2 linked regions of the Stegostoma tigrinum genome follow. The protein of the gene in region 1 purifies or fractionates together with the protein of each later gene. This does not show direct contact. Links are inferred from orthologs where the notes say so. Each region holds a gene or a part of one and is shown on either strand. Other genes may lie near its edges.

Region 1 (15,479 bases):
AGGGATGCAATGCCAGAACAGCATAAAACTCTGTCAAGATCACAAGTGTAATTTTGCACCCAATTCTGGTCACATTACAGGAAGAATATAATTGCTCTGCAAAGAGGGACAAAGGAGATTTACAATACATTGCCAGGGCTTGAAAACTGCAGGCGAGAAACAATTGGATAGACTGGGGTTGTTTCACTAAGGTTAGAGGAGACTAAGGAATGACTTAATTGAGCTGTACAAAATTACTTGGAGTTTAGATTGAGTACACAGAGAAGGGCTGTTTTCCAGATTATAGGTCAATTCCAGAGGGCACAGACTTCCTGCAATCGACAGAAGGACTAGAGGATACATGAGGGAAAGCCTTTTCTGCCCAGATGGTGGGTACGTGAAATGTGTTGCCTGCTTAACGGTTTAGACAGAAACCCTATTTAAAAGGAACCTGGAAATGCCTCAAAAAAATCAGTAACCCACAAAGGTGAAGGCCCAGGGGCCAGAGAGTGGGATTAGAATGAGCAGCTAGCTTATTCAGGCAGCACAGATGCAATGTGACGAAAGTTCCCTTTCCGTGATTCCACGAAGCAATTCAGTTGTTCGAAGAAAAACACACTTCTGCAAGTTTAATTAATGCATAATCATTAAAATAGGAGTTGAAGAGAGCATAAACTCTGGTTCACTCACACTGACACAGTAACCTTGGACAACATTGACTCATCTGCTTACTCATTAGAGATTCTTCTTATTCCATGACAAGGAATTCTAGAGCAGCATTGCTCAAAACAACAGTGACATTCTCACTTTTCTCACCTTATCCCTATCAGGTTACTTCCCACCTTTGTGCCTAAACAAGCCTAGTTAAATATCTCAGCCAGAAAGTAACAAACTTATTTGATTGATACAGGAACCTTCAGACCAAGAAGTGCTGCTGTCTGCAAGAACACTACCATCATTGAACATAACGTTAAATTACATCAGCCACAACAGGCTACTGTTTAACCTTCCCTACAAATATTTTCACCTCCCACTTTTCCTTTGGTTCTTGCCTTTGTAAATCAATGTTTCAGATTGGTATCTGTGCATATTCAGTTAGCTCACCTCATGAGCACGAGGAGAGCAGGTAACAAATTTCAGCACTCTCAACCTAAAGAAACAAAATTTGCATATATATTCCGAAGCAAGCACAGAGAATGCTGGAGATACTCAGCAGGTCTGTGGACACAGAAACAGAGTTAACACTTCAAGTCTGGTATGACTCCACCTCAGAGCAGTTCCGAAGAGGAGTCAAACTAGACTCACCGTGTTTTTCTCTTTCTCTATCTCTCCCTCCAAAGATGCTGACAGACATGCTACGTTTCTTCAGCATTCTCTGAATTAGTTTCAGATTTCCAGCATCCACAGTATTGCACTTTTATCATAAAACAGTCAGTCAGTCAGTGAGCATGTGGTCAGGCTGTAAATGTCAATGAGCTGGCAAAGTTTTGATGGGTAGAATGGCTGCTTTCTGAACTGGAATATTCTTGGAAACTGTGAATATGGTGAGACATTGTTAAATTCCATTGCCAGGAATATAGCAGTAGAAAGCCTTGACATTGGGACGTAGGAATTATGCTGCTGACTGTAGGTGAGAAAATGTGGAGTTACTGTCAGGCCAGACTTACATGTGATTCATTTCTCTTCCTATAAATGCACCAGACTGTTGCCTTTCTGTGCATTGTATCAGATGACTGGGTAGGTATTTTGTGATATAACCTACTCTTTGCATCACAATTTCTCGACTGAGCAAGTGAACTTTCCCCTCAGTCAGTGCACTGCTGCAGTGTAACTTGGAGCCTGGGAATGATCTTGGAATGCCACAGAGATTTACTGAACTGATTTCCTTTTGTTTCATCTCATCCTGTGGTCCCATTTTCCTTGGCAAACTCACCAGTCCCCCCACATCTAGAAGCAGTCTCCATGAGACTCCTGCTTGATGGGCATTTCTTTGCATTGTGTGTGCGCCATGAAGTTGGATGAAGCTCCATGACAGTGACTCCACTCCAGGACACATCAGTACTGTTTTCCACTGTCCAGGTCCATTTTACAAATGATCATTTTGAACTGATAAAATACAAGTGCCAATATTAGAGATGACCCTGAGGAATCTGGGAGAATAAAGGCAAAACAAAAAACGAGGAAAGAAAAACAGCAGGTCAAAATATTGCTTGGGCAACAATTGCTAAGGATTGAGGAAATATCATAGTCCAAAGCATAACTGAAATGTGGCTTAACCTGATCTGGAGGACTAGAGATTACTCAGTTTGCCAAGAAAAATGGGACTGCAAGATGGAACAATAAGAAATTAGTTCAATAAATCTTTTTCTGGCATTCCCAGATCATTCCCAATCTCCAAGTTACACTGCTACAGTGGATTGACCAAGGAGTAAGCTCACTGTCACTTGCTCAGTCAAGAAACTGTGAGAAGGAGTATGTTATATCACGAAATACCAGACCAAGTCATCTGATACAACGCACAGAAAAGCAACAGTCTGGCACATTATTTCAGAAATATATCAAGTGTAAGTCTGTCCTGACGGTAACTCCACATTTTCTTGCTCGGTATTTATCTCCAGCCAGCAGCACGACTCTTGTGCTCCAATGTCATGGCTTTCTACTGCTTTATTCCTAACAATGGAATTACCAATTCCTCGCCATATTCATGGCATCCAAGAATCTTCCAGCCCAGAACGCAGCCAGTCTGCCCATCACAACCAGACACTCACCGACTCCCCCCCACCACAATAAGATCAGACCCTCACCAATTTGTTCCCAACCAGAGCAGATACGATGATTATTTGTTGGGGAGTCGGTGAGTGTCTGTTGACAACGTTCAGTGACCACGTCACAATCTGACTGTTGTCAAACCCGAGTGACTCGCACTAATGTTCCTTAAAGGCAGTGCACTGTGCACACTAGGTCTGCAAGTATGTGTCACTTCAGAACTACACAAATGGGGTTGACTCCCAGCTTTGCTCCAAAATGGACTAGCAAGCCATTCAGTTGCATCAAAATCCCTACCAAACAAAAGAGCCTCAGAAATAGTTCAAAAAGGTAGGTCACGGCCACCACCATTTGGGCTTGCCAGGGATGCCCATATCCCTATAGTGAATAAGAAGAGCAAACCAGGGTTGGGGAAGCAGCAAACCCATGTCAGGAGGTACATGACAGGACAATCATGCAGAGGCTGGGCAAAATAGAGCCATGGGATTGCAGGATAGAAATGTTAAAATGCAGGGAATTTGGAAGGACTCAATATGTTGAAAATCCGGGAGAGGATCCAGGTTTCAGAATTCTTATTTCAATCAGAGTAAATGGAGCATGGAAGCAGGAGGCTTTGACAAGACTGGAGAAGTTGAGATGAAAAAGGCACAAATTGGAGTTTTGGCTGCAATAGTGCAGCAAAAAGGACAGGCAGCGCTTCAGGGGAGAACAATCCTGGCAACACATCACATGTGAGGGAGTTTAACTGGAGTGAAACCTGCCAGTGCATCAGGTTTAGCCTGAGGTAAAGAAGCAGGGAGCATGACAGATCTGAGGCCAGAAGCACGTAGGTTCTGGGCTCATCCAAGACTAACAATGGTCTGCCTGAGTAACATTTGACTGAAGGAAGTTAAAAGTCAGCTCACTCTTCCCCAACACCAAAGGTACAGAGCGATACAGAACATAGTTTGGCTTCAATTAATTCTAATTGCACACTTGATTCCCATAAGACAAACGAAATAAAGCTCATAGGCTGCCAAAAGTTATAGTTTTATTCCACAAACAAAAGGCAATACACCAGAGAAAAACACTCTACATTCTGTCAGGGGGATAAGTTCGTTTTGAATAACAGGCTGCTCAACTCAGACAGATTTCACAATAATTTGGTTGCCTGGCTGAACTTCTATTGAGTAGTCTCACAAGCAAACTTTTTAAAGGTGGAGCCGGTGATTTGACAAGCAGAATTCACAGATTAACGACATACTGTCTGCACCATAAATCATCAGGATGTTCCACCTCAGGCTCAGAAGCAGACAGGAGCTTGATAAAGTGAGGAATCACAGTTCTCATGAGAGGTTTCATTTGAAGTGGTGGAAAATGTTCAAATTTTTTTCATTCTTACTTCAAAATTGTAGTTACAGTTCAGACATAAAATGTATTTTTGGTGGGAGTTTTAACGGATTTGTTGAGATTTGTAGTTGTATATTTTGTGAGAAGCTAAAAAATCATTGCAGAATTAACTATGCAAAATTCTGATTAACTGTGCTTACACAGTAAGGCAAGTCCAGTACAGGCTATCATGGACTGGGCTACAGTCTGCATGGGTTCCCTCTGCATGCTCCAAGTTCCTCCCACAGTTCAGAGATGCACAGGTTAGGTGGATTGACCAGGTTAAACTACCCATAGCGTCCCAGGATGTGCAGGCTAGGTGGGTTAGTCATAGGAAATGCAGGGTTACAGGAATAGGGTTGAGAAAGGGGTATGTCTGGGTGAGATGTTCTTCAGAGGGTCAGTGTTGACTCGCTTACACGCTGTAGGGATTCTAATGGTTTTATGGTCTAGCTCCGAAAAGGGACAAGAAAGTCAAGCATGGGGCAAGGAGGAGAAGCAGCATGAAAACCACTTCATTTCTAAACCACTGCACAGTATGATTATAAAGCAATACCCAGAAGGGCTGCGATAGTGCCCAAAGTTCCAGAGGGGTGGTTAAAACAGGCAGATCCACCCCCTCCACCACTCCTAACGAAAATTCACTTATAGGGCCAATCAAACCTTGTAAATAGAAATATGACCAACAGTGAACCAATTAATAGCAAACACAAGAAAAACAACCTGTAACGGAGTAACAGCAAGGAGGCTACGTAAATGCTGTCGACAAGGAAGTTGTTAGGGAGACCGCAGGGAGGTGGGGAGAGGCCGAAAATCAGTTGAGAGAGGGAGACCACAGTAATGGGAAGGGAATACTCATAACTCAAAGGCTTAAAATCACTGAAGCAACGAATGACTTATAAATGAATGTGGTATCTCTAGTTCAAGGCTGCATATGTTCAGAACCTAACTGACAGTGGGAAATGTGTATGCCAATAAGGTGAACATGGTCCAATGTTAAATTTAAATGAGATGGTGATCCAAGATGCAGCGAAAAGTGTCTGCCAGGTCAAAATGTCCAGCTTTGTACATAAATAGTAGAAACAAATTTGCTCTAACCTCTCTAATCTACAATAGGTCTGCTTTAGGTTATGGTTGTGTGGCTGAAGTGGGCATCAATTATTTCCATTGCTAACTTACGTCTGTTGTCTTGGGCATATTTAATTTCAGTGTTATTTAATGTTTTCCTTCTGCATTATGGGTTTAAGTTTCACAGGGTTGACGACTATTGAGAATATTGCTGAATTGTTCTAATTCTAAGTCCAAATAATTTAATGAGAATGAAAATGCAACTTCTGAAAATCAAGAAGTAACCCCAGAAAAACAAACAGTAACGATCAAGAGGTGCCCTCAAAAGAAATGTTGTACCCTGCTGTGACTAAAAGTGAACTGTTCATTATATCTCGCAGAGCAGGAGCACTGACTCACCATACCATCAAACCATCAAGCGTTTCAAACTCGCTTCACTAACTAACTCCATGATAGTAAAATGGTAGTTTTCTGAGTTTTTAACATCTCTCAGCCTCCATACTACCTTTCCCTCATATTATGAAGTTTTTTTGTGTTTGCCAAACACTTCTTCGGGGATGTAACCTAGTGACTTAGGGAAGCCCCGTGCTGATGGTGTCCAGCGCAATCTTCCTTCTCTGCCTTCACTTTCCCTTATCTCAATACAAGAAAATTCTAGGGTCGGCGGAGAGCATCATTTGCTGGACCCCCCTATCCTTGTGGGCACCTGCTTCATGTTGTTGTCGCTACAGAATGTTGCTTTAATGGATTAGCAACCATTGTTGTCCAACTGCAGTGCGTTCAGACTGAGGATGCTTAGGGGTCAGATGTTGGTCAAAGGTAAATTGTAACATCCCATTGGTGATCACTGGCTGAACTTGGGCATCTGAATGATATGGAAGTAGCTGCAGTGTTATCATGAAATGTCCATACTGGCTGAAGGGAACAACTGCTCACGCTACCTCCACAGGTCCTGGGTGCGAGGCACACATTGCGTCGTCTGTCATGTTTGTGTGACAATGCTGTGGTCTGAATGCTGTGTTTAGTTGAGTGTTTAATGGGGGTGCAGAGTTGGCTAGGTGTCGGAGCAGCTGCAGATATTTCCTTGTCAATGACATGGGGTAACCACTCATCAAGTTGCTGCCCAGATTAAACCTGAAAGTGGATAGATGGTGGAGATATGTCGCTCATTATTGGGTGCAGTGTATGCAGCCATCATCTGCAGGGAATTGCACCAATGACGGCCAAGCTCCGATACAATGCTGCCTGCATTTCCCCACCGTGGATCAAAAGGTGGAGCTACTGAAAAGGTGGTTCTGCTGCTTGGACCAGTCAGGGAATAACTCTCCAGTCTAGTCCAAACAGAGTCTGTCCCATCATCCTGCGCTCTGCACAACTGCAGTGGGCAACAAGACCAGAACAAGGCCATAAGCTGGATGCTGAGGAACTGGGGGAATAGGTGAAACCTTCTGAAGAGGACAACATGGGGGAGTAGGAAACTGATGCTCTCCATGATGGAGCTCAGCTGCGTTTGGTGTAACGAGCCAGACAGAACCTGCCTGACACCTAGTTCCAGTAGACGAAAGTTGGGTGAATTAGACAATGGCCAATTTCAAACTATTTTGGTCATATTGTTGAAAACTGGTTGGCATCGTAGGAGCTCAGCCTTCAGTTTTGTCCCCTTTTGCTTTTTGTAAATAATGACTCTATTAAAGCTCAGGGTTTGACTTTGTATTCATCCAGTTGCTCGCCTGTTTGTGACGTTTCACAACTGGGCAATGCCAAGATTCAGTTCTACTGTGGGCACCAGAGTAGGGCAACACTGACGTTAGTCATGGCATTCAGGCAGGAGGTAGCTACGGGCAGGAAAAGTGTGTAGCATGGTAGTTAAGCAGCGCCAGAGATGACAGATTGTCGATGTACAAGGGAGGGTCAGCCATGCCAGCCTTGTGCCAAGAGCAGTGTAGCTGCTGTGCCATTGCACTGCCAGAGACAGTCAAATACTTGTCTGGTCCTTTAGAGACGGTGCAGGCACCAGCAATGCTGGAGTGTCAGTGGAAGTCCACCGAGTAGCAAGTTGCTGTGGAAACAGCGGGCGGCAAGTTTGGGGTGGAAATTGGAAAATGGCAAAGGAGCAGGGTAGGTGGTTGACAAGGCAGCTTTGTAAGACAGTGAGAAATCTCACAAGGTTCCATGACGAGTAACCCTCCAAAAGGCAAAACTCAACGCAACTCTGACATAGCCAAATTCAGCCAACTGTTTCTGCTCAGATCTTATTGGTGCTGCCTGCCACGTCTACTGTTGCATTATATCACACAAGTCTGTCTTGTCCCACACACATACAGTCATCGTAGGCCATCTGCAGCCACAGTGCACACCAACAATCATCTGAAACATACCTGCCTAAATCAATGCTCGTTACATGTTACACAGGGAGCAGTTTAAAACTTCTTTCACAACTCTACAGAAATGTGCTGCACTGGTGAAAACATCTCAGCCAGCAGTATTAGGATGGTGGCATGCAGAATACTTACAATTATGCGAACAGTGAGGGATCATCATGGCAATATTGAAGTATTCAAAACAGATACCACAGCGTAAGAGGTTATCCATGGCCTGGAAGAGAAAGACGATTCGTCAAGTCCAAACTTGCCATCCTAAACAGAGTTGTCACCTTAACCCAGACTATACATTGCCAATCCAAATCAAGTGTAGGCCTGTGGAGATGGGTAATCAAGATTTCCGCTAATCATTTTACTGTACTGACTAAGAGCAGAACACAGATCCTATGGGATCAAAATGGAAAGCGCGCGCAATCCACTCAGCACCTCACAATTAATCAGTATAAATCTTGTCTGAACTTCAGTTGTTGTTACATCAGAAAATAGGTCAGTTAACCATCCTCATCCACAAACACCTTCCCCCCCCCATACTCTCTTTCTCATCCTAAGTCTTTCCCGCACTGGCATTCAGCACGGGGCACCCCTTCCTCTGTCGTTCCCTCCCTCAGTTTCAATCTCTCCCTCTCTCTCACCTTCAGTCTCTCCCACATTTTTCTCGAATTCAGAGCAAAACGCGCGCGCTGGCTACAGCCGGAAGCACGTCATCAGCAGCTGAGCGCGAGCGCTTTCCGGTTAGTTGCCACGGGGGATCCCGATTCCCAGAATAGCCTGCACCCTACGCCGCCCTCCCCAGCTTCCCGACAGACGGCGCGCTGCACCCTCCAATCCGTACCCCCGACAAACTGCAGCAGCTTCCCCCATCAAACCATGCAAACTCTCCCAATAAACCCCGCATCATGCAAACTGCACTCCGCTATCAAACCATGCAAACACCCTGAAACCACCCCCTGCATCATGTAAATTGGACCTCCCCCAAAACTCCCCTGCATCATGAAAACTAGACAGCGTCAATCAAACCATGCAAACTCCCCTGAAACCCCCCTGCATGATGCAAACTACACTCCCCATCAAACCAAGCAAACTGCCCCCACCCCAAAACTCTCCCATTAAACCATGCAAACACCCCTGAATCATGCAAACTCCCCAATAACTCCTGCATCATGCAAGCTATAGCCCCCAAATCAAACCATGCGAACTCCCTCGAAACCTCCTGCATCATGCAAACTACACCCCCTTCAAACCATGCAAACTTCCCCCAAAGCCCACTGCACCATGCAAACTGCAGCCCCCATCAAACCATGCAAACTCCCCTGAAGCCCTCTGCATCATGCAAACTACACCAGCCATCAAACCATGCAAACTCCCCCAATAACCCCTGCATCATGCAAACTACAGCTCCCCCATCAAACCATGCAAACTCCCCTGAAATCTCCCCTGCATCATGTAAACTACACCCCCATCAAACCATGAAAACTGCCCCCACCCCGAAACCTCCCCCCCACATCATGCGAACTAAACCCCGATCCCCCAAACTGCATCCTTCTAATTGCAACTCTGAAACCTGGCACCATGCAAAACTGCATTCCCCAAAGAGTGTTAATGGGAACTGCAGATGCTGGAGAATCCAAGACAACAAAATGTGAGGCTGGATGAACACAGCAGGCCCAGCAGCATCTCAGGAGCACAAAAGCTGACGTTTTGGGCCTAAACCTCTCTGATGAAGGGTCTAGGCCCAAAACGTCAGCTTTTGTGCTCTGAGATGCTGCTGGGCCTGCTGTGTTCATCCAGCCTAACATTTTGTTCCCCAAACAGTGTACTCTTCAAACTTGCATCGCTTAAACAATGCACCGTACAATCTGCAACTTTCGCTCCTAAACGCTGAAAGCTTTTCTCCCCACACCGGACACTATGCAACCTTTCACTGCACTGCGCAGCATGTAAACTTCACTGCTCACGATTGCCATAGTGCAACCTTATTTGCCCACGTTGGCGTCATTCAATCTTCACATCTTGCACGGGGCAATCTTCAGGTTTTTTTTAGATTGGGTACTGTGCAAGCTCCACTCCCTTACTTAGTCAATGTGCAACTTTCATCCCTTTGCATTGGGCTCTGTGCAATCTTCACTTCCTGCACTTGGCAGCGTATAACCTTCATGTCTGGGATCATTGTGTAACTTTGGCTGTCCACTTTTACATCTTGTATCCTTTGCTTCCCAAGTGGGTACCTTCACGACACTGCACTGCACATAATCACCACTATGCAAGCTTGACTACCAGTGCTATGCAACTTTCACTTCCCTGTTCTGTCCACCTTCCAAATTTTATTTCCTTGCATTGATCACCATGCAACTGTGACTCCTTGCATTGGGCTCTGTACAATATTCACACACCTGCACTGGGCAACATGCAGCCTTTGTCCCCCTGCATTGGGCAGTATGGAACATTCACTACCCACAATCCTCACTGTGCAAGCTCAACTCCCCAGTTTGGCACCCTGCAAACTTCACTGACTGTTTGTGCACTATGCAATCTTCAATTCCCTGCACTGAGTACCATGCAATCTTAATTTCTTGTATAGGGCACCTTACAGTTTTCATTTCCCCAGTACTGGGCATCAAACAACCTTCACTACATGAGCAGCTGTACAACCTTCATTCTCCTGAATTGGGTACTGTGTGAAGCCTCACTCCCATTCATTGGTCACCATGCTTGATTTTGGAATTATTGCCATCTGCTACTATGCACAGTCCTAAATTCAAAAAATGAATTGAAGGAGAATGGCCAATCAACATTTCCATCCCATCAGCACACAACAACAAAAGATCAGAATAAAGCGAAGAATAGCCCTTCAAGAAAAACTGTCCAAAATCACCTACATCAATACACAGACAACAGATTCATGGGTTAAGAACATCTCAGACCAACTATTTACAGATACTGAGAAGACCGTCCTAGTACGTGGACTGAAACATAACTACAGAGATGCCAAAAAAGACTGGCTTCCTGGCTGGGCTGGAATCAACACTAAAGAACAACGGACTCACAGAAAAAATACAACAGACTGTCAGACAGACAAGAGTCCCAACCCTGAACAAAAAGGAAAATGGAACACACAAGAGAGGAAAGCCCTGGAAAGGCTCAAGAAAGGCAGGAACATTGTAATCTTACCAGCAGACAAAGGATGCATGACAGTAATCTTTAATACAACTCAATACATCGAGAAAGTTAATGCATTACTAGCAGATACCAACACCTATCAACAGATGGCGACAGAACTGCCACCACAATTAGGAGGTAGGAGGAACTGCAGATGCTGGACAGTCTGAGATAACAAGATGTAGAGCTGGATGAACACAGCAGGCCAAACAGCATCAGAGGAGCAGAAAGGCTGACGTTTTGGGCCATTTCTGAAGAAGGGTCTAGGCCTGAAACGTCAACCTTCCTGTTCCTCTGTTGCTGCTTGGCCTGCTGTGTTCATCCAGCTCAACACCTGGTTACCACAATTAGGAAACCAGATTACACCAAACCTGAAGAACTTATCCAACTCAGGAGACATCAGCAAGACACACAACCAAAAAAATGAAGCCAGAGGGATCCAACACACCCCGATACTACAGATTCAACCAAGGTACACAAGCCGGGGGTCCCCCTCAGACCCGTCACTGCCAGGTACACCAACATATAGACTTGAAATACTTAGTGGACAACAATACCCTCTCATTTACTCATCCCAAGAATTCTTCAACATCTCGAAGGTCACCAGGATAGATGAGTATGAGATGATGATATTGTCCAACATAACAGCACTATTTACATCCATAAACATCGACCTAGCCAAAGAAACAATTGCCACACTGCTGGATGAATCAAGTAAGCAGGCAACCCAGGACACCAACAACATCAATGAGGACACCACCATGAAACTACTGGATCTGTGCCTCACAACCCACTTTACCTTCAATGACAACATATACAAACAAATCAACGGAACACCAATGGGATCCCCAATGTCAGGACTGATTGCAGGAGCAGTAATGCAAAGGTTAGAATGGACAGCGCTCACCATTATATAACCCAAACTTTAGGTCCCAAATGTAGGTGTTATTATTATCAAGCATACTAAACTGGAAGAAACCCACGAACACTTAATCAACACCCTCCCTGTGACAAAATCCATGAAAGAAGAAGAGAGCAACAATCAACCACCCTTCCTGCATATAATGGCAGAACACAAAAACAAGGGGGAACTCCAGATTAGTGTATATAGAAAGACCACACATACAGGCCAAATACTCATTTACACTAGCAACAACCCCAACATTCACAAACGGAGCTGCATCAGGACACTATTTAAGTGAGCCACAATACATTGCAGCAACCCTACATGAAGGAGCTACATGAAGCAGAACAGGAACACATATATGAACTCTTAAAAAAAATACCCAAAAAGCACATTACCATTACCTCCAAAACAGGTGACAACAGGTAGACACAACATGACCAGAATCATTTATCACCCTCTCATACATCTGGGACATTTCAGAGCAGCCCACAAGACTACTCAGACCCCCAGGTATCAGAACTGCCCATAAACTGACAACCACCCAACAACAGCCACTGACAAACGTGAAGGATTCCATACCCAAAACTAGCAAGCTGGGGTAATATACAAAGTACCATGCAAGGACTGTGAGAAACACCACATGGGCCAAATCCGAAAAAAATTTACTGTATAGATACATTAATACCAACTAGCCACCAAGAGATACGACCAACCCTCAAGTGTCACGCCATACACGGACAACGAGGGATACGAATTCAAATGGGACAACACATTGATAGTTGCACAAGCCAGAGACACACCAGGGAATTCCCAGAGACCTGGAATTCCAACCGGAACTCCATTAACAAACACACTGAATTAGTCCCTGTGTACAAACCACCGAGAAACAAAACTGAAAGTAATACCAACCACCCCAGCAAACTGAGACATAGAAATAACAGGTGGGGCAGAACACCGATGCTTCATGGGAGGCGCACTGACAATGTTACCTAGCAGGCTGACAAAACATTTGCATCCAAACCTACTGGCTCGGCGAGCATGTCTACAACTTCATTTCCATCCCCATTGAGAGAAGATCCCAACAGGTGAGTGCAAAAGATCTTCAGTTATAAGTGCCAAATAATCAGTTCAGGCCCGCTTCTGAAGTCCCAATCAGTACAAAAGCCAGTCTTCAGCTAATTTACTTTACTCCACATTATAGCAGCAAACACTTGAGTACACTGGATATAAGGAACTGCACAGTGGCTCAATGGTTAGTACAGTGCCACGGACCTAGGTTCGATTCCAGCCCTGGTTGACTATCTGTGTGGAGTTTGCACATTCTCTCCATGTCTGCGTGGGTTTCCTCCGGGGACACCGGTTTCCCACCCACAATCTGAAGATGTGCAGGTTAAGTGGATTTTCCTGGCTAAAGTGTCCAGCGATACGTAGGCTAGGTGGATTAGCAGGGCAAAGAGAGGGTTTCAAGGACAGGGTAGGGTGTCAGGTCTGGGAATGATGCTCTTCAGAGGGTTGGTGTGGATTCAATGGGCCAAATGGCTTACTTCCACACTGTAGAGTTCTACGTATCCATAAAAAACAATGGGCTATGACAGTGTCCCAGCAACAATAATGAACATCTATTCTCCAGAAGTATTGTGGTCATAAATTAGTCTGTTTCAGTACAGCTATAATGTGGGTATCTGCCAAACGATCAGCAAGTTACACAGGGATGTCCTATCCACAAACAAAAAAGTCCATTTGGCTCCCAAACCCATTACAGCTGCAGGAGTTCCTCAGGTGATGTCCTAGGCTCCAGCATCTTCAGCTGCTTTGTCAAAAACCTTCACTCCACCATAAGGTCAGAGGTGGTGGAGCTGTTTGCTGATGATTGTATAATATTCAGTTCCATTCCTCTGATATTGGAGCAGTCAGTCCTGCCCTGGAGCAAACGGAGCAGCATTCACACTTGGGTTGCTAAGTGGCAAGTAGCATCTGTGTCATGCAAGTGGCAGGCAATGACCATATCTCAAATGGAGAACACAACCATCTCCTCTTGACATTCTACAGCATTGCTATCACTGAATTCCCACATCTTCAACATCCTTAGGTTTTGTATGAATGGAATAACTCTGACTCGGAAATCCTGATCAGAACCAATCTGTACCTGAACTTCATAGATCAAAACCAGCAGCAGCAAACCATTTTGGTTTTAATTTCTGAAGTATCTAGAATGCTGCCTGGCACAAGAAAAGAACTGGGGCTGTTTTCAATTCAACTGTGGAGATTAAGACTTGATTTGATACTGATATTTGATCCTGTGAAGGATATAACAGAATAATTCAAAATACTCTGCAGTGATTAAATAGTCTAGAAGGTTTTGAAGATGTAAGGTTAAATAGAAGTGATCGAGAATGGAAAACAAGAGGAATGTAAATTGTAGCGCAGAGATAGACTGCGGAATAAACTGCCAGAGTTATTGATTCAAGCAGAGATCAGATCAACTTTTAAGCATAGATGAGATAGTTGGTTGAAGGAAAGCAAAATATATGGGAACAGGGATAATGGGAACTGCAGATGCTGGAGATTCCAAGATAACAAAGTGTGGAGCTGGATGAACACAGCAGGCCAAGCAGCATCTCAGGAGCACAAAAGCTGACGTTTCGGGCCTAGACCCTTCATCAGAGAGGGGGATGGGGAGAGGGAACTGGAATAAATAGGGCGAGAGGGGGAGGTGGACCGAAGATGGAGAGAAAACAAAATAGGTAGAGAGGAGAGTGTAGGTGGGGAGGTAGGGAGGGGATAGGTCAGTCCAGGGAAGACAGACAGGTCAAGGAGGCGGGATGAGGTGGTAGGTAGGAAATGGAGGTGCAGCTTGAGGTGGGAGGAAGGGATGGGTGAGAGTAAGAACAGGTTAGGGAAGCAGAGACAGGCTGGGCTGGTTTTGGGATGCAGTGGGGGGAGGGGACGAGCTGGGCTGGTTGTGTGATGCAGTGGGGAGAGGGGAAAAACTGGGCTGGTTTTGGGATGCAGTAGGGGAAGGGGAGATTTTGAAGCTTGTGAAGTCCACATTGATACCATTGGGCTGCAGGGTTCCCAAGTGGAATATGAGTTGCTGTTCCTGCAACCTTCGGGTGACATCATCGTGGCACTGCAGGAGGTCCATGACGGACATGTCGTCTGAGAAATGGGAGGGGGAGTTGAAATGGTTCGCGACTGGGAGGTGCAGTTGTTTGTTGCGAACCAAGCAGAGGTGTTCTGCAAAGCGGTCCCCAAGCCTCCGCTTGGTTTCCCCAATGTAGAGGAAGCCACACTGGTGCAATGGATACAATATACCACATTCGCAGATGTGCAGGTGAACATCTGCATGATATGGAAGGTCATCCTGGGGCCTGGGTTGGGGGTGAGGGAGGAGGTGTGGGGGCAAGTGTAGCACTTCCGGCCACTCCAACACAATACACCTGTATTCCTCATGCAGATGGCCTCAAGGCCCTCCGCTTCTTCCTGTCCCGCAGGCCCGACCAATCCCCCTCCACCGACACCCTCATCCGCCTCGCCGAACTCGTCCTCACCCTCAACAACTTCTCTTTCGATTCCTCCCACTTCCTACAGACAAAGTGGGTGGCCATGGGTACCCGCATGGGGCCCAGCTATGCCTGCCTCCTTGTAGGTTACGTGGAACAGTCCCTCTTCCGCACCTACACAGGCCCCAAACCCCACCTCTTCCTCCATTACATTGATGACTGTATCGGCGCCGCCTCTTGCTCCCCAGAGGAGCTCAAACAGTTCATCCACTTTACTAACACCTTCCACCCCAACCTCAAGTTCACCTGGGCCATCTCCAACACATCCCTCACCTTCCTGGACCTCTCAGT
Region 2 (15,248 bases), on another chromosome or scaffold:
TGAACCAATCCATGATTGCTCTGATCCTCGGTTTGCTATTATTTTGTCATAACTTTCCATTAATACAATTCATACAATTTAGCTTCCAGTTTTTTTTAAAATCTAAACTTACGTTCAAAAGCACAAAAATGTTCGCCTGCTCTATACCCTCATAAGCTGCTGAGCATGACCATCTGTCAGCAAAAAGGTTTTCATTTACCATGAAAGTATGCATCATAGACATGCCAATAACTGCATTTATTGACTGTGATTTAATTGTTTTGAAGTCCTAGTCAATCAAAATGCAGTTGTATTTTTTAAAACAAGTGACATCCCAAATGGAATACTGAGCCAAGTAAATGACTTATTTTAGTATATGAGAAATGAGTAGATATATTTTTAAAAAGTACAATTAGAGAGTCATTGACCTAAAAACAAATGTGCTGATTCAATTTAACTTCCAAAATAATATTTTGAGGACACTGCTAACTTTGCAATTTAGGGTCAAAATCAAATCATTTCTGCCCTTAAACAAATCTGATCATCCCACAGCATGAAATGTAGCTAAAAACATTCTGTAAATGGCTTAATTATTTTCACAAATCATTCACACACAATTTTGAAACCCATTCTTGAATGAGTATCTGAGGTTTGTAGTAAATGTCCCACTTCTGTTTCTGAATGAAAAAGGAAGTCAGTGCAGCAGAACTGCATTGACTCAACGAAATAGAATGTTATCAAATGAAAAAAAACTAATAAATTCATCACATTGATTTTGTTACATCACAGTATAGTCCCCCTCTGACCAAGCCTGTCATGTCTATACAAGTTCTTTACAAAACGTCACCTGTTTCCTTGCCCTTTCCTATTTCCCTAGCATTTTTCCTTTTAAGATGTGTTATGTCTCACAGCATACCTTTAAGAGATAAAGTGATATATCATGACATCATCACTGCATCATTGCATGTAATATCTCCATCTTAACTTGCGCCACTTGAAGGATGAAACTAATATAAAGGTGCAGTTGCTTTTAACCAAATAGCTTAGTATAACCAAAACAATAAAGTGCCTATTACTGTAATATTTGTGTATACCAGCAGCTGTAATAAACATCCATTAAATCATTCACTATTACATATCGCACCTAGTTTTAAGTTACAGGAAATTAAAAAGGATTGCATCATCAGGTACAAATATCCCACTGAATGCAAAAGCCTTCAACACAATGGCAGATGAACATGTTTATCCGATTCCCTTTTGAAAGCACAATTGAATCTACTTCTATCACACTTTAAAGCAGTGGAAGATACCATTCTCTCACTGCATACAGAAGTTTTTTTTCCCCAAATTCACTGTTCGTTCAACTGTCAATATTAACAAGAAGGTGGGGTTGGGTGTCTTGAAATAAGTCCCCAGAGCCTGATGGGATCTATCTCAGGAGGCAAGGGAGGAGACTCAAGGGGATTTGACAGAAATTTGTGCATCCTGAGTTTGGCAGCAAAAGATTTTGCCCCCATGATGGTGGAACAAAAAAAAATGCACATACAGCCAGAATTGGATGTGAGTGGAAATTCTGGATGTTTTAAGTTTAAAGGCAATTGAAGGAAGGAAGGAGGATGAAGGCCACAGAGAGATTCGAACACAAAGAGAACTTGAGAAACCAGGTCCATCAGTATCTGTGGAGAGAAATAATTCTGAAGAAGTCATGTTAGTCTTGAAACATTAACTCTATTCCTCTTCAAAGATGCTGCCTGACCTGCCGAGTTTCTCCAGTGTTGTGTTTGTTTCAGGTTTTCAGCATCCTACATAGTTTGCTTTTTATTAAAATAAAACAGGTGTTGGTTAAATGAAATTGAATGTAAATCCAACAACATAGGACTTGCTGCTGAGTTAGGATTTGGGGAACAGAGTTTTCGATGACCTCATGTTTACCAAAGGTAGAAAGGGGAACGTTGGATACAGTATTTTTTAATTCCAATGTCTTGATAAGGAATTCAGTGACAAATTTATTTTGGACAGCAAAATTCAACTGTCATGCACACAGTTCTGCTTCAGTTATTTCAACTATGTTCAAAGCTGAAGGAAACCTAGGTAACTTTATAAAAACATATATAACACAGACTTTTGTGGATGTGAGTTTGTTCGCTGAGCTGGAAGGTTAGCTTTCAGACGTTTCGTCACCATTCTAGGTAACATCATCAGTGAGCCTCCGATGAAGTGCTGGTGTTATGTCCCGCTTTCTATTTATCTGTTTAGGTTTCCTTGGGTTGGTGATGTCATTTCCTATTCTTTTTCTCAGAGCATGGTAGATTGATTTGGAGCCAATGTGTTTGTTGATGGAGGTCCGGTTGGAATGGCACGCTTCTAGGAATTCTCGTGCGTGTCTCTGTTTGGCTTGTCCTAGGATGGATGTATTGTCCCAATCAAAGTGGTGTCCTTCCTCATCTGTATGTAAGGATACTAGTGATAGTGGGTCATGTCATTTTGTGGCTAGTTGATGTTCATGTATCCTGGTGGCTAGCTTTCTGCCTGTTTGTCCAATGTAGTGTTTGTCACAGTTCTTGCAAGGTATTTTGTAGATGATGTTCGTTTTGCTTGTGGTCTGTACAGGGTCTTTTAAGTTCATTAGCTGCTGTTTTAGTGTGTTGGTGGGTTTGTGGGCTACCCTGACGCCAAGATGTCCGAGTAGTCTGGCAGTCATTTCGGAACTGGGACAACACATTCATCCTAGGACAAGCCAAACAGAGACACGCACGAGAATTCCTAGAAGGATGGCATTCCAACCGGAACTCCATCAACAAACACATTGGCTCCTTATCAATTGACCATCCTCTGTGAAAAAGAACAGGAAATGACATCACCAACACAGGAAATGACATCACCAAACACAAGGAAACCTAAACAGATAAATAGAAAGCGGGAAATAACACCAATGCTTCACTGGAGGCTCACTGATGATGTTACCTAGAATGGTGACAGATTGTCTGGGAATAAACCTTCCAGCTCAGTGAACCAGCTTACATCTGGAACAAAATAAAGACCCACTCTCTTGTGGACCGAGAGGAGGGGAGTGCTGTGTTGGAGGTGAAAGGAGGACGTCGGGTTGGCTGTGCACCCTTGCGACCAGTGGATCTTAATGCTGGCTTCGGACTAACGCTGGTTCAGGGGAGCAGCCAACCTGCAACGATGGCTGCGGCAAGTGCTCGTGCCCCAGGTCAGGGGGTCCAGAACACCATCCGCGTTTCCGTGAAGAAGGTGGATGAAGGTGCACCTGTGGACCGCACCTTCTTCGTGAAGAAGGTCCTATTGGACTGTGGTGGGTTCGCTGCTGCGGACATTTACTGCCTGCAGGATTTCCCCGGAGGAGGTTTCTACGATGTAACCTTCAGGAGCGCCAAGCTTTGCGAGTGCTTCCTGGAGGTTTTCAAGGAAAAAGGAGGTGAGGGCCCCTTCTCTGTACTGACCGCTGTCCTGCTGTTCGTGATGCTGGTGCAGAGGAGCCGTATGGTCACTGTACACATGTACAACCCGCATGTGCCAGCAGCTGATGTCCTGACCTTCCTTGGAAGGTACGTGAAGGTGGAAGGGGACCGAACCAACATAATGGACCCCTTCGGGATCTGGACAAGTAAGAGACAGGTCAGGGTGACGCTGAGGACGGGTGCAGATGGGAACATCATACACCCACTGTCCAGCTTCGCGATTGGCGGGAGCAAGGGCTACCTGACCTACGCAGGGCAACCCAAAGTCTGCTATGCCTGTGGTAGGTCAGGTCACGTGGTGGCTGACTGCAAAGTCACCATCTGCAGGGAGGAGGGACACCTTGCAAAGGATTGCCCAAAGGAAAAAAGCTGCAACCTTTGTGGGAAAGCGGGCCACATCCATAGGGCATGCCCGCAGCAGGGGACTACCTACGCCCAGGAGAGGAAGGCACCAGGCCACTGCAAGGACCACCCCTTCGTGTGCAGGAGGGCTAGGTTGTGTAGGAGGGACCAGCCCCGCAGGGTGGACCCGAGGCCAGCAAAGCGCCCTGCAGGCTCCGCTCCCCTCCCCGCTCCCCCCCGACAACCCGGAGTCAATGGAGGAGGTGACAGGTGACCCAGGGAAGTGGACGACGGTCCGGAAGGTGAGGAGGAAGGCGCGCTGTGGCCCCAGCTCCGCAAACATCAGGCGGGAAGAGGCAGCTACAGGGGGGCTATAAGAGCTCCCCTGATGAGGGGGATTCGGAGGAGGCCCGCCCAAAGCAGAAGCTGAAGACTTCCACTGAGAAGGAAAGCAGCAGCCCGCTTCCAGGGGACGGGAGGTGTCCTGAGGTTCCCTCCGACACCCAGCCACGCACTGCTGGGGCCCTGGAGGGCCCCCTGGAACCTGCAGGTGGGATGCAGGAAACGTGCCCCCAACCTGACCCAGAGCCGGACTCTCCTGACTCCATACTGCTGAGGGGGGGATGCCACCCGGAAGGCAGCACAGACGGTTTCCTTGGCCCGGAGGCCGTCCAGCAGTTCGCCCAGGCAATGGGCATGAAGGGACAGATGGAGGGGCTGGACCTTGGACTCGAGGTCACTGCCCACAATGGGGGTACAAGTTGCGAGCGTTAATGTGCGCAGCGTCAAGTCCACCACAAGACGTGTGTCCACGTTGGCCTACCTGACCACCGTCAAGGCAGACCTCCTGTTTCTGCAGGAGTGTGGGATACCGCACCTCGGCAGGTATGGGATATGGTCGGGTGCCTGGACCTGTGGGCCTTCGACCTGGTCGGGGGGTGATGACTGTCGCTCCTTGGGCCTGGCTATTCTGCTGCGGGGGCGCAACTTCACCATCTCTCAAGTTCAGGAGGTGGTGGGGGGGGGGGCACCTCCTAGTGGTTGATGTCACCTACAGGTACACTCCCCTGAGGCTGATCAACATGTACGCCCAAGCGGTACGGAGTGAGCGGGTGGCCGTCCTGCAGCGCCTTCCATCCCTGCTGGCTACGTCCAGGCCGGTCATCCTAGGCGGAGACTTCAACTGCATCATCGATGCAGATGGATGATCCAGCGTGGGGACAGCGGGTGGGGGAGTTAACAGGACGTCACATCCAGATTCCTGATGGGCACGGTGAAGGACACCAAGCACGGACAACACGGCCTCCAAGTCGTTCCTGTCGTCTATCACAGAGGTCTTAGACGATAGCACGAGGGAGTGGCTGGACCAGCCGATATCCCTGGACAAGCTGACCAGAGCCCTCAAATCCTTTGAGAGGAATAAGACTCCCGGGAGCGACGGCTTACCGGTCGAGCTGTATTCCGCTCTGTGGGACCTGGTCGGTCAGGACCTGCTGGAGGTGTATGATAGTGCGCTTTGGGCAGGGGAAATGTGCAAGTCCATGAGGAAGGGCATCATCACCCTCATTTACAAGAGGAAGGGGGAGACGGAAGAAATTAAGAATTGGCGTCCGATTTCACTATTGAACGTGGACTACAAAATCCTGGCCAAGGTCATAGCCAACCGGGTCAGGTCTGTCCTGGAGTCGGTGATTCATCTTGACCAAACCTGTGCTGTGCCAGGCAGGAAGATCGCTGAGAGCCTCGCGCTCATCAGGGATACGATCGCCTACGTGCAGGACAGGCGGGTGGACACCTGCCTCATCAGCCTGGACCAGGAGAAGGCCTTCAACAGAGTCTCTCATGCTTACATGAGGGACGTCCTCTCCAAATTGGGGTTCGGGGAAGGCATCCGCAATTGGATCCGGCTGCTCTACACCAACATCGTTAGCGCAGTCTCGATCAACAGGTGGGAATCGGACAGTTTTCCCGTCAGATCTGGAGTCAGGCAGGGCTGCCCGCTCTCTCCTGCCTTGTTCGGGTGCTGTGTGGAGCCCTTAGCTGCATCCATCAGGAAGGACGTGAGCCTGAAGGGCGTGACTATCCCAGGCAGCGGAGGCCTTCAGGTCAAGACCTCCCTTTACATGAACGATGTCACCGTTTTCTGCACCGATCGTCGGTCGGTGAGTAGGCTGTTGGACATCTGCAGCCAGTTTGAACTGGCCTCGGGTGCCAAAGTCAATAGGGGTAAGAGCGAGGCCATGTTCTTCGGGAACTGGGACGACTGCTCCTTCATCCCCTTCACCGTCAGGGCAGACTACCTGAAGGTGCTGGGTGTTTGGTTTGGTGGAGCTGGAGCGTGCACTAAGACTTGGGAGGAGCTTATCACCAAACTGAAGCAGAAGCTGGGCAGGTGGACGCTCCGGTCCCTCTCCATCGCGGGTAAGAACCTGGTTGTCAGGTGCAAGGGGCTTTCGGTACTGTTGTATGTGGCGCAGGCCTGGCCTATTCCCTGGACCTGCGCTGCTGCGGTCACCCGGTCCATCTTCCACTTCATTTGGGGGTCGAGGATGGACCGGGTCCGCAGGGACGCCATGTACAAAGACCTGGGAAATGGGGGAAAGGGCGAACCGAACGCCACCCTCGCCCTGACGGCTACCTTTGTGTGCAGCTGCATCAAGCTGTGCGTAGATCCTCAGTATGCAAACACCAAGTATCACTACTTACTGAGGTTCTACCTGTTCCCGGTGTTGCAAAGGATGGGCCTGACCTCGTTGCCACGGAACGCTCCGAGTAGTTGGACCATCCTGTACCACCTGTCCTTCGTGGAGAAATTTTTGTAAGGAAACATCTTTGACTACAAGGCCGTCAGGCAGTGGTAAGCACGTAGTATCCTCGAGACCCCTCGGGAAAAGGAGAGGCTGGATCCCGTCGTGTGGTTCCCCACGCAGACTGCCAAAGTCGTTTGGCAGAATGCCTCATCACCAGAACTTTCTAACAAGCACAAGGACATTGCTTGGCTGGCGGTGAGAGGGGCTCTGCCAGTAAGATCCTTTATGCACGCCCGGAATCTCTGCGTCACCGCACTGTGCCCTTGAGGCGGCTGCAGGGGGGACGAGACTGTCGATCACCTCCTTCTGGAGTGTGCCTATGCACAGGAGGTCTGGAGGGGGATGCAGTGGTATTGGTCGAGGTTCGTCCCGAGCAGCTCCGTGACACGGGACTCCGTGCTCTGCGGGCTGATTCCCAGGATGCATGCCGAGCCCAACATCAACTGCGCCTGGAGGACCATCAATGCAGTGAAAGATGCTCTTTGGACTGCCCGCAACTTGGTGGTCTGCCAGCTGAAAGAACTGACCCGACCGAGTGTTGCAGACTGGCGCAGTCCAAGGTCCAGGACTATGTGCTGAGGGACGCGCTAAAGCTTGGGGCAGCCGCTGCCGAGGCGCGGTGGGGAAAGACCACCGTATGAAACTCCTCGTCCAGAATAGAAAAAAGGGCCCTATCTGGTAACTGGGCCCAGTTGGCACCTTCCCCAACTGGTCAGGGGGCCAACGGGGACTGTGCGGGGAGACGACTGCCGGGGTATTTTCTTTGCTTTGTTTTTTTTCTTCTTTGTTTTGTTTTTTCCTTTAGTTGGTCTACATACCCCCTGGGTATCCCAGAGCGGCTTGCATGACTGGGTAGGTGTATAAATGTTTTATTTTTTCTACATTCTATGAATAAAGTATATTTTTTCAAATTTTAAAAAAAGTGACAATGTCTGAAAACTAACCTTCCAGCTTAGCGAGCAAACACATCCAGAAACTCAACCTGAGCTACAAATCTTCTCAAAATTCACAGACTTTTGTCATACTTGTGCACAATTCTGGTCACCCTGTTATAGAAAGGATGTTGTGAAACTTGAAAGGGTTCAGAAAAGATCTCCAAGGATGTTGCCATGGTCGGAGGGTTTAAATTATAGGGAGAAGCTGAATAGGCTGGGACTATATTCCCTGGAACATTGAAAGCTGAGAGGTGGCTTTATAGACGTTCACAAAATTACGAGGGGCATGGATAAAGTAAATAGAAAAGGTCTTTTTCGGGTGGGGGGTCAAAAACTAAGGGGCATAGGTTTAAGGTGAAAGAGGAAATATTTAAAAGGGATCTCAGGGGCAACTTTTTCAAGCAGAGCGTGTTGCGTGTATGAAATTAGGTGCCAAAAGAAGTGATGGAAGCTGATACAAATACAACGTTTAAAAGGCATCCCGACGGGTATATGAATAGGAGGGTTTAGAGGAACACGGGCCAAATGCTGGCAAATTGGACTAGATGTATCAATGATATCTGGTCGGCATGGAGTTGGACTGAAGCCTCGGTTTCCATTGCTGTATGTCTCTCTGACTTGACAACTGCGAACGTCGAGCAACGACCTTGTATCATTACTTTAGGTAATAACAAAACAAACCAAATACCAAAATGAATGGTCACCTCGGCAGCTGAAAAATAATCTAGCTTTGCTTGTAAATAATAAGACTATATTCACTATCTGTCCATGTAGAGGTTTGAATTGGAACGTGAAGATTACCGCAGCAATAGGCCAAACATCGCTGCAACTCAAATAAAAGCAAAATACTGTGGATGCTGGAAATCTGAAACAAACGTAGAGAATGAAGAACAGTCACACTGGACTCGAAACATTAACTCCGTTTATCGCTCCACAAACGCTGCTAGACTTGCTGAGTTTCTAACATCATTCTGTGTTTGTGCCGCAAGTCACGCTCAGTGAAGTGAAACGACACCAATCCCTCAGTGCCTCGTTAATGTTGTGCAATAAACTGGCACAAAGGGAAGAAGTGAAAATAACGTAGCAGAAATACTTTAAATTTATAATCTTCATTTACAAAAGATGCTGAGGCCTTACCCTAGATTCCCGTCACTCCAGTTCACCGATCTGTTTACCAACGTGTCACTCGGAGACGTACAAGGCTACGTCACTGCGAGACGCCAGATTACACGTGACCAGGCTGTACTACCCCTTGTCCCGGGGTGGGGGGGTGTTGGAGATCTTAACAGTCAGTACTAATGACAAAGCTCATGGAACGCACAATTGCCTCAAATCAGTAACACCGTCTAGATTTAGCTGCAGCTTAAGAGTGTATTCTGTTTTATTTTCTAATTGCTGTGTAGGTATCTTGGTTTTCAATGTTTAGAGTAGTCGAGACGGTGGGAATTGTCGGCGGTTTGGCTCTGGACAGCCAGTTTTAATCTGCGCGCGAGTTGAGGCAACGTGACTTTTTGAGCGCGTTCTACAGTGTCGGCAGTTCATTCACTCACTCTTAATGATCCCCGCCAATCGTGTGCTTTACGTGAGTTTGGGAAGTTTAGGGAACTTCGGTGTAAACGTGAGGACGGGTCGTACGTGTTTATAAACGTAGAGGTAATGTTGCACAGAGTTTTGTAGATTTCTGTTTGCAAATATTCAGTTAACATTGAATTTGGTTTCTTTTAAATTGTGTACAGTTTAAGACCGGGGAGTATGCTTCCTTTCTTACTCTTCTAAATTCCTTGGTCACGGGTTCCATCAATTTTCTTAACAAGTGTGGAAACTTTAACGAGATTGTTTGTAAGCCTGGTGCAATACTTGACTCTGTGATGAGCTTCTGAACACACCCTTTCCCTAATTAACTCTGACTTTTCCTACTTTGAGCCTATCGCTCGACTGCCGCTGGCACTGTTGGCCTGAAGCGGTCATCTGTACTTTTCTCATCACTTGACCCGATTAGAAGTTCGGGAAAGCACGAAGTGACCAACGATCCCTCCAGCTTTTTCGCCTCTCACCATGATCAGCCCTGATCACCTACTTCATTCTTCCCGCCTGCCATCCTTGAAATCCCCAGCAGAGCAAAATTGGATGCCAGCCTTAAGTGAGCTCTGATTTTTTTTTTTAAAAATCCATAACGCTTGGAAGTACGATGTTTCAAAACTTTCCAGTTCTCTCAGTAAAGTTAGGATAAAGTGGTGTCGCACTTTGGTAAGACAACCCAGGACAGAACTTGCACAGTCATTAGTAGGGCCACGGGGGAATGTTGTTGAACAGAGACTTTGGGGCGCAAGTACACAGTTCATTTGAAGTGAGATAACAAAGTGTGCAGCTGGATGAACACAGCAGGCCAAGCAGCATCTTCGGAGCACAAAAGTCTTAGGCAGACAGAATGCTGACGGAAGTGTTTGGTATGCTTGCCTTCGTCGTCAGGGCGTTAACTGCAGCAGTTGAGACATCGTGTTACATTGGTACGGGCACATTTGGAGTACTACTTACGATTCTAGTTGCCTTGCGATAGGAAGGGTGTGATTAAACAGGAAAGGGCACAAAACCGATTTACAGGGATGTTTCCAAAAGTGGAGGGTTTGAGTTGAGGAGAGACTGATAGGCTGGGACATCTTTCCTTGGAGCAAAGGAGGCTGAGAGAGAGCATTATAAAATCATGAGGAGCGTAAACTAGACGAATAGCCAAAGTCGTCTCCCCAAGGTAGAGGAGTCCAAAACTATAATGCATAGTTCTAAGGTGAGAGGGAAAAGATTTAAAAGGGACCTGAAGAGCAATGAGCTGTCAGAAGAAGTGGTTGAAGCGAGTACAATTACAACATTTAAAAGAAATTCAGACAAGTACATGGATAACAAAGGTTTTGAGGCAAATGGGGCTAGTTACGTTTGGGGAAACTTGGTGCAAGTGGATGAGTTGGGCTGAAGGATCTATTTGAACTGTATTAGTCTTCTGTAAGACATTTCTGAAATCTTCACCTCAGTCCTCAATGATTGAGTTCCCTTCTGATGCAATGCCTCTTTCTATATTCTTCTGCCAGGAGCAATAATTATTGATGTCTGTCCTGTTCACTTTGGAATCTTGAATGTTTTTCAGTAAGATTACTTCATATTCTGTACATACTAGAAGTGCAGCCCAAACTTCATAGAATCTCTATATAGTGTGGGAGCAGACCATTCAGCCCATCACACCCAAGTGAACCTTTTGAAGAGCGTCTACCTTGACCCACCCCCTGCCCTATCCCTGCATTTTCCACCCGAGACACTGTGGGCAATTTAGCATAGCCAACCCATCTAATATGCACATCTTTGGATTGGGAGAAGAAACCAGAACACCTGAAAGAAAACCACACCAACACGGAGAATGTCGGTATGGAGTTTGCACAGTTACCCGAGGATAGAATTGAATCCGGGTCCCTGGCACTGTAAGGTACCAGTGCTGACCACTGAGCCACTACCCAATTTAGTCAGCTTTTCATCATAGAATGATTCACTTCGTCCATTCGTTAAACAAAGGTGAAGGTAAAAACTCTATAGCTTTGTTGGGGCATGGAATTGCTGTCTCATTGAGAGAGATGACTAGTGATTGTTTAAAGTTAGAAGTCACAAGACACCAGGTTATACTCCAAGTTTATTTGGAGTCTCTCAAGCTTTCAGAGTGCAGCCCCTTCGTCAGGTGCAGTGAGAGAGTAGGGCACACAAACAGAGATGAAGGGCAACAAAATCCAAAGATCTCTCACTGGTGTGAGTGGAGTGGCAGATGATATGCCTCTGGTGACCATGAGTTTTATACAGTGTGTAAAATGTTTATAAAGTCAGTGTCAGAACTGTGCTGTCATGACAATCAGACAGATCCATAGGAATGTACAAAAGCTGACATATCAGGTCAGACACTGAATTGTGGGTCTGAGACTTTGTTCAGAATCTGATTTTTAACCTGGAATCAGGTTGGTTTTATTCTGAAAGCTGGAATTTATAAGATGCCACACTGACTGTGAATGCAATTTTTTGAGCAAAATAGAATGTACGTGCAGATAAGCAAAGATCTTGAATGAAATTATTCTACCCCATAGATTTGTTTGTGCATGTACGCATGTGTGTAGAGAGAGTGTGTCTGTGTGCCTTGCTGTCTCACTGCATGTGGTGAAGGGACCGCACTCTGAGAGCTTGTGTGAATCCCAGTAAACCTGAAGGACTATAACCTGGTGTTGTGTGACTTCTGACTCTGAAGTTTGGAAAGTTAGTCAGACACTGATGCAAACTTTAATTATCCCGGGACAGTGACTTAAAACAAATTCTGGAATTTGCATCTTAATCAATCAAAATTTACGTTTCCTTTCTAACAGAGTTTTCCGTACCCTACTTCTGAAATTTCTAGAATGCAGGAATCTATGAATAATTAAAGATTCAACAGGAGGCAGTCAGTCAGCCATTTTAGGCCTCCCTCCCTCCCTCAAGATGCGCCTGTGTGCTCTCCTGACGAAGGGGCTGCACTCTGAAAGCTTGGATGATTCCAAATAAACCTGTTGGACTGTAACCTGGTGTTGTGACTTCTGACTTTGCCCACACTAGTCCAAACCTCCACAACATGGTGAGCTTTAACCTGAGGATCACCAACCTCTGGTTAGGGGAGATGTTGAGAAGGAGACCCCTTCGTGATGAGCGCAGCCACACTGGCAACTGCATCACAAACTGGCTATCCAACCAACTCAGGTAACTGTCCCTTGACTGAACAAATAACCTTTAATATCATCCTGGCTCCAATATAAGCATTTTCTTCCTTAAACATTTCTAGACACAAAGCAGTTGAATCACCAAGGCAATTATATCGAGATTTTATTCCAGTCTTCTTGCAGTAAGAACCAGTGTGCAATTTGAATTTTCATATATGTTCATGGGTTGTGGGCATTGCTTGTTGGGTCAACATTTACTGCCCAGCCCTAATTGCCCAGAGGGCTGTTAAGAATCAACCGCATTACTGGAGTCACATACAGGCCAGATCAATAAGGATGGCGGCATTAGTGAGCTCGATGGGTTTACCTGACAATTGGTCATGGTTTCATGATCATCATTAGAATCTTAATTCCAGATTTTTATTGAATTCACATTCCACCTCTGCCATGGCAGGATTTGAACTCAACTCCCCAGAATAATGCCTGTGTCTCAGGATTAGTTGTCTAGCATTAATACCATTAGTCCATCGCCATCCACTTGGTACTTCTGGCCTGCGACTGATTAAAATGCTTCCCGCCATATACCCCTAACACTTTTGAAGATGGGGATATTTGTGGAACCTCTACCTGTCCATCGTTTTACTTATCCACCACTATGCACAGCTGAATGTGGCGGGACTGTAGACCTTAAATCTGATCCCTAGCTCAGAAATTGCTCCCAAAAGTTTCTAATCTGTATGAACCCGGAGTGGTCAGGTTATCTGTACGTTTGAATTTTTTTTAATGTTCTTCCACTTCCAGACACATTTGACATTTGCTTGTCTCCAGTAATTATATTTTTGTTGCACAGATGGCTGGACTAGCACAGAATCCTATAATACAGTTAACCGGTTTCAAACATTCTGAGAAAAGGGCCCTTGTCAAATTACTTACTGAACTCGACTGCATTTACTTTGGTGAGCAGGTAAGTCCTAAGTGATTAGAGAATTGGAAATGTGAGTTTTTAGCTAATTTAGTTTTGTTTTCATCAATAAATATTTTTGTTCTTTCTCTCGTCCTCTAAGTTTCAATTATCTCAAAATAGTTTTATACACGCTATCCATGTTGAACCTTCAATATATGAAAGTCAAGATAATGCAAATCACTTCGTCCTATTGTTCCAAAAATCTTCAGATCTAATGAATTTCTTTTCTAGATTTTAAACAATTTGTACACAATGGAGTTCCACAAAAAAATTAAATTAGTTATTAATTTTTTTTAATGCTCATCGAGGAAACTTGAGAGCAGCAATTGGAAAATATCCTCTTTGAATGGCGCACAGAACCTTTCTACATTGAACCAAGACCCTGCTATTGATTACTTCAATGACTCATACGATGCCTGGACTAAAGCTAAATTATGTGGGAAGATTACAATTTTTCCTTAGCATTGCATGATGTGTTAACCTGGATTAAGTGCTACCATTCTACAACTGGGAGTGAACTCTGGATGTGAGTTTGCTCGCTGAGCTGGAAGGTTAGTTTTCAGATGTTTCGTCACCATTCTAGGTAAACACCATCAGTGAGCCTCCGAATAAATGCTGGTGTTATGTCCTGCTTTCTGTTTAGATAGGTGGTGACGTCATTTCCTGCACATCCATCCTAAGACAAGCCAAACAGAGACACGCACGAGAATTCCTAAAAGCATGGCATTCCAACCAGAACTCCATCAACAAACACATTGGCTCCAAATGTGTTTGTTGATGGAGTTCTGGTTGGAATGCCATGCTTTTAGGAATTCTCGTGCGTGTCTCTGTTTGGCTTGTCCCAGGATGGATGTACAGGAAATGACGTCACCACCTATCTAAATAGAAAGCAGGACATAACACCAGCGTTTATTCGGAGGCTCACTGGTGTTTACCTAGAATGGTGACGAAACATCTGAAAACTAACCTTCCAGCTCAGCGAGCAAACTCACATCCCAAAACTCAACCTGAGCTACAAATCTTCTCAACTCGCTGGGAGTGAACTCTCAAACTTCTAGTGATTGAGTGATAGTATAGCCATTTAAGCAGAGCAAGTACTTAGAAGTTAGGAGAGTCAATTATAGACACAACTGGAGAGATATGTTTTCAGATGTGATTTTGAAAGAGTTATGAATAGTGGAACCAGGTTCTTTTTCTTCTTTGGACCGTTTTATAACCTATCTAATCAACCTGTTCAAAATGTTAGGAACTTGGGCCTTTTCATCCAAAGGTAGGGATAGAATCATTGCACCACAAGAGCCGCCTTTCTTTTTCTTAGGATGTAGGCGCTGCTACCAAGGTCAATATTTAGACCATGGGCTAAGAAGTAAGCCATTCTGCCCGTCGAGTCAACTGCCATTCAATGAGATCATGGCTGAGCTAATAGTCCTCACTGAGAAGTGGCAAATGGAGTTTAATGCAGACAAGTATGAGGTGATGATGCACTTTGGTAGGAGTAATGGGAAGGCAAAGTACTGGGCTAATGGTAAGATTCTTAGTAGTGCAGATGAGCAGAGATATCTCGGTGTCCATGTACACAGATCCTTGAAAGTTGCCACCCAGGTTGACAGGGCTGTTAAGAAGGCGTACAGTGTTTTAGCTTTTATTAATAGAGGGATCGAGTTCCGGAACCAAGAGGTTACGGTGAAGCAGTACAAAACTCTGGTGTGGCTGCACTTGGAATATTGTGTACAGTTCTGGTCACCGCATTATAAGAAAGATGTGGAAGCTTTGGAAAGGGTGCAGAGGAGATTCACTAGGATGTTGCCTGGTATAGAGGGAAGGTCTTACGAGGAAAGGCTGAGGGACTTGAGGCTGTTTTCATTAGAGAGAAGAAGGTTGAGAGGTGACTTAATTGAAACATGTAAAATAATCAGAGGGTTAGATAGGGTGGATAGGGAGAGCCTTTTTCCTAGGATGGTGACGGCGAGCATAGCTTTAAATTGAGGGGTGAAAGATATAGGACAGATGTCAGAGGTAGTTTC

The links.
Region 2: the proteins of rad18 (region 1) and slf1 purify together in Homo sapiens (affinity purification with mass spectrometry; 4 studies listed by BioGRID and IntAct, with this or other methods). This does not show direct contact. The link is inferred for Stegostoma tigrinum from reciprocal best matches to the Homo sapiens genes RAD18 and SLF1.

The regions. Positions count from the first base shown.
Region 1 is NC_081364.1:59,456,797-59,472,275, reverse strand, and holds the start of rad18 (E3 ubiquitin-protein ligase RAD18), read right to left. Parts: upstream 8,257-15,479; 5' UTR 8,213-8,256; coding exon 8,195-8,212; intron 7,777-8,194; coding exon 7,695-7,776; intron 1-7,694. UniProt on the Homo sapiens protein: E3 ubiquitin-protein ligase involved in postreplication repair of UV-damaged DNA. Postreplication repair functions in gap-filling of a daughter strand on replication of damaged DNA.
Region 2 is NC_081356.1:89,486,550-89,501,797, reverse strand, and holds the start of slf1 (SMC5-SMC6 complex localization factor protein 1), read left to right. Parts: upstream 1-8,849; 5' UTR 8,850-9,201; intron 9,202-13,110; coding exon 13,111-13,224; intron 13,225-15,248. UniProt on the Homo sapiens protein: Plays a role in the DNA damage response (DDR) pathway by regulating postreplication repair of UV-damaged DNA and genomic stability maintenance.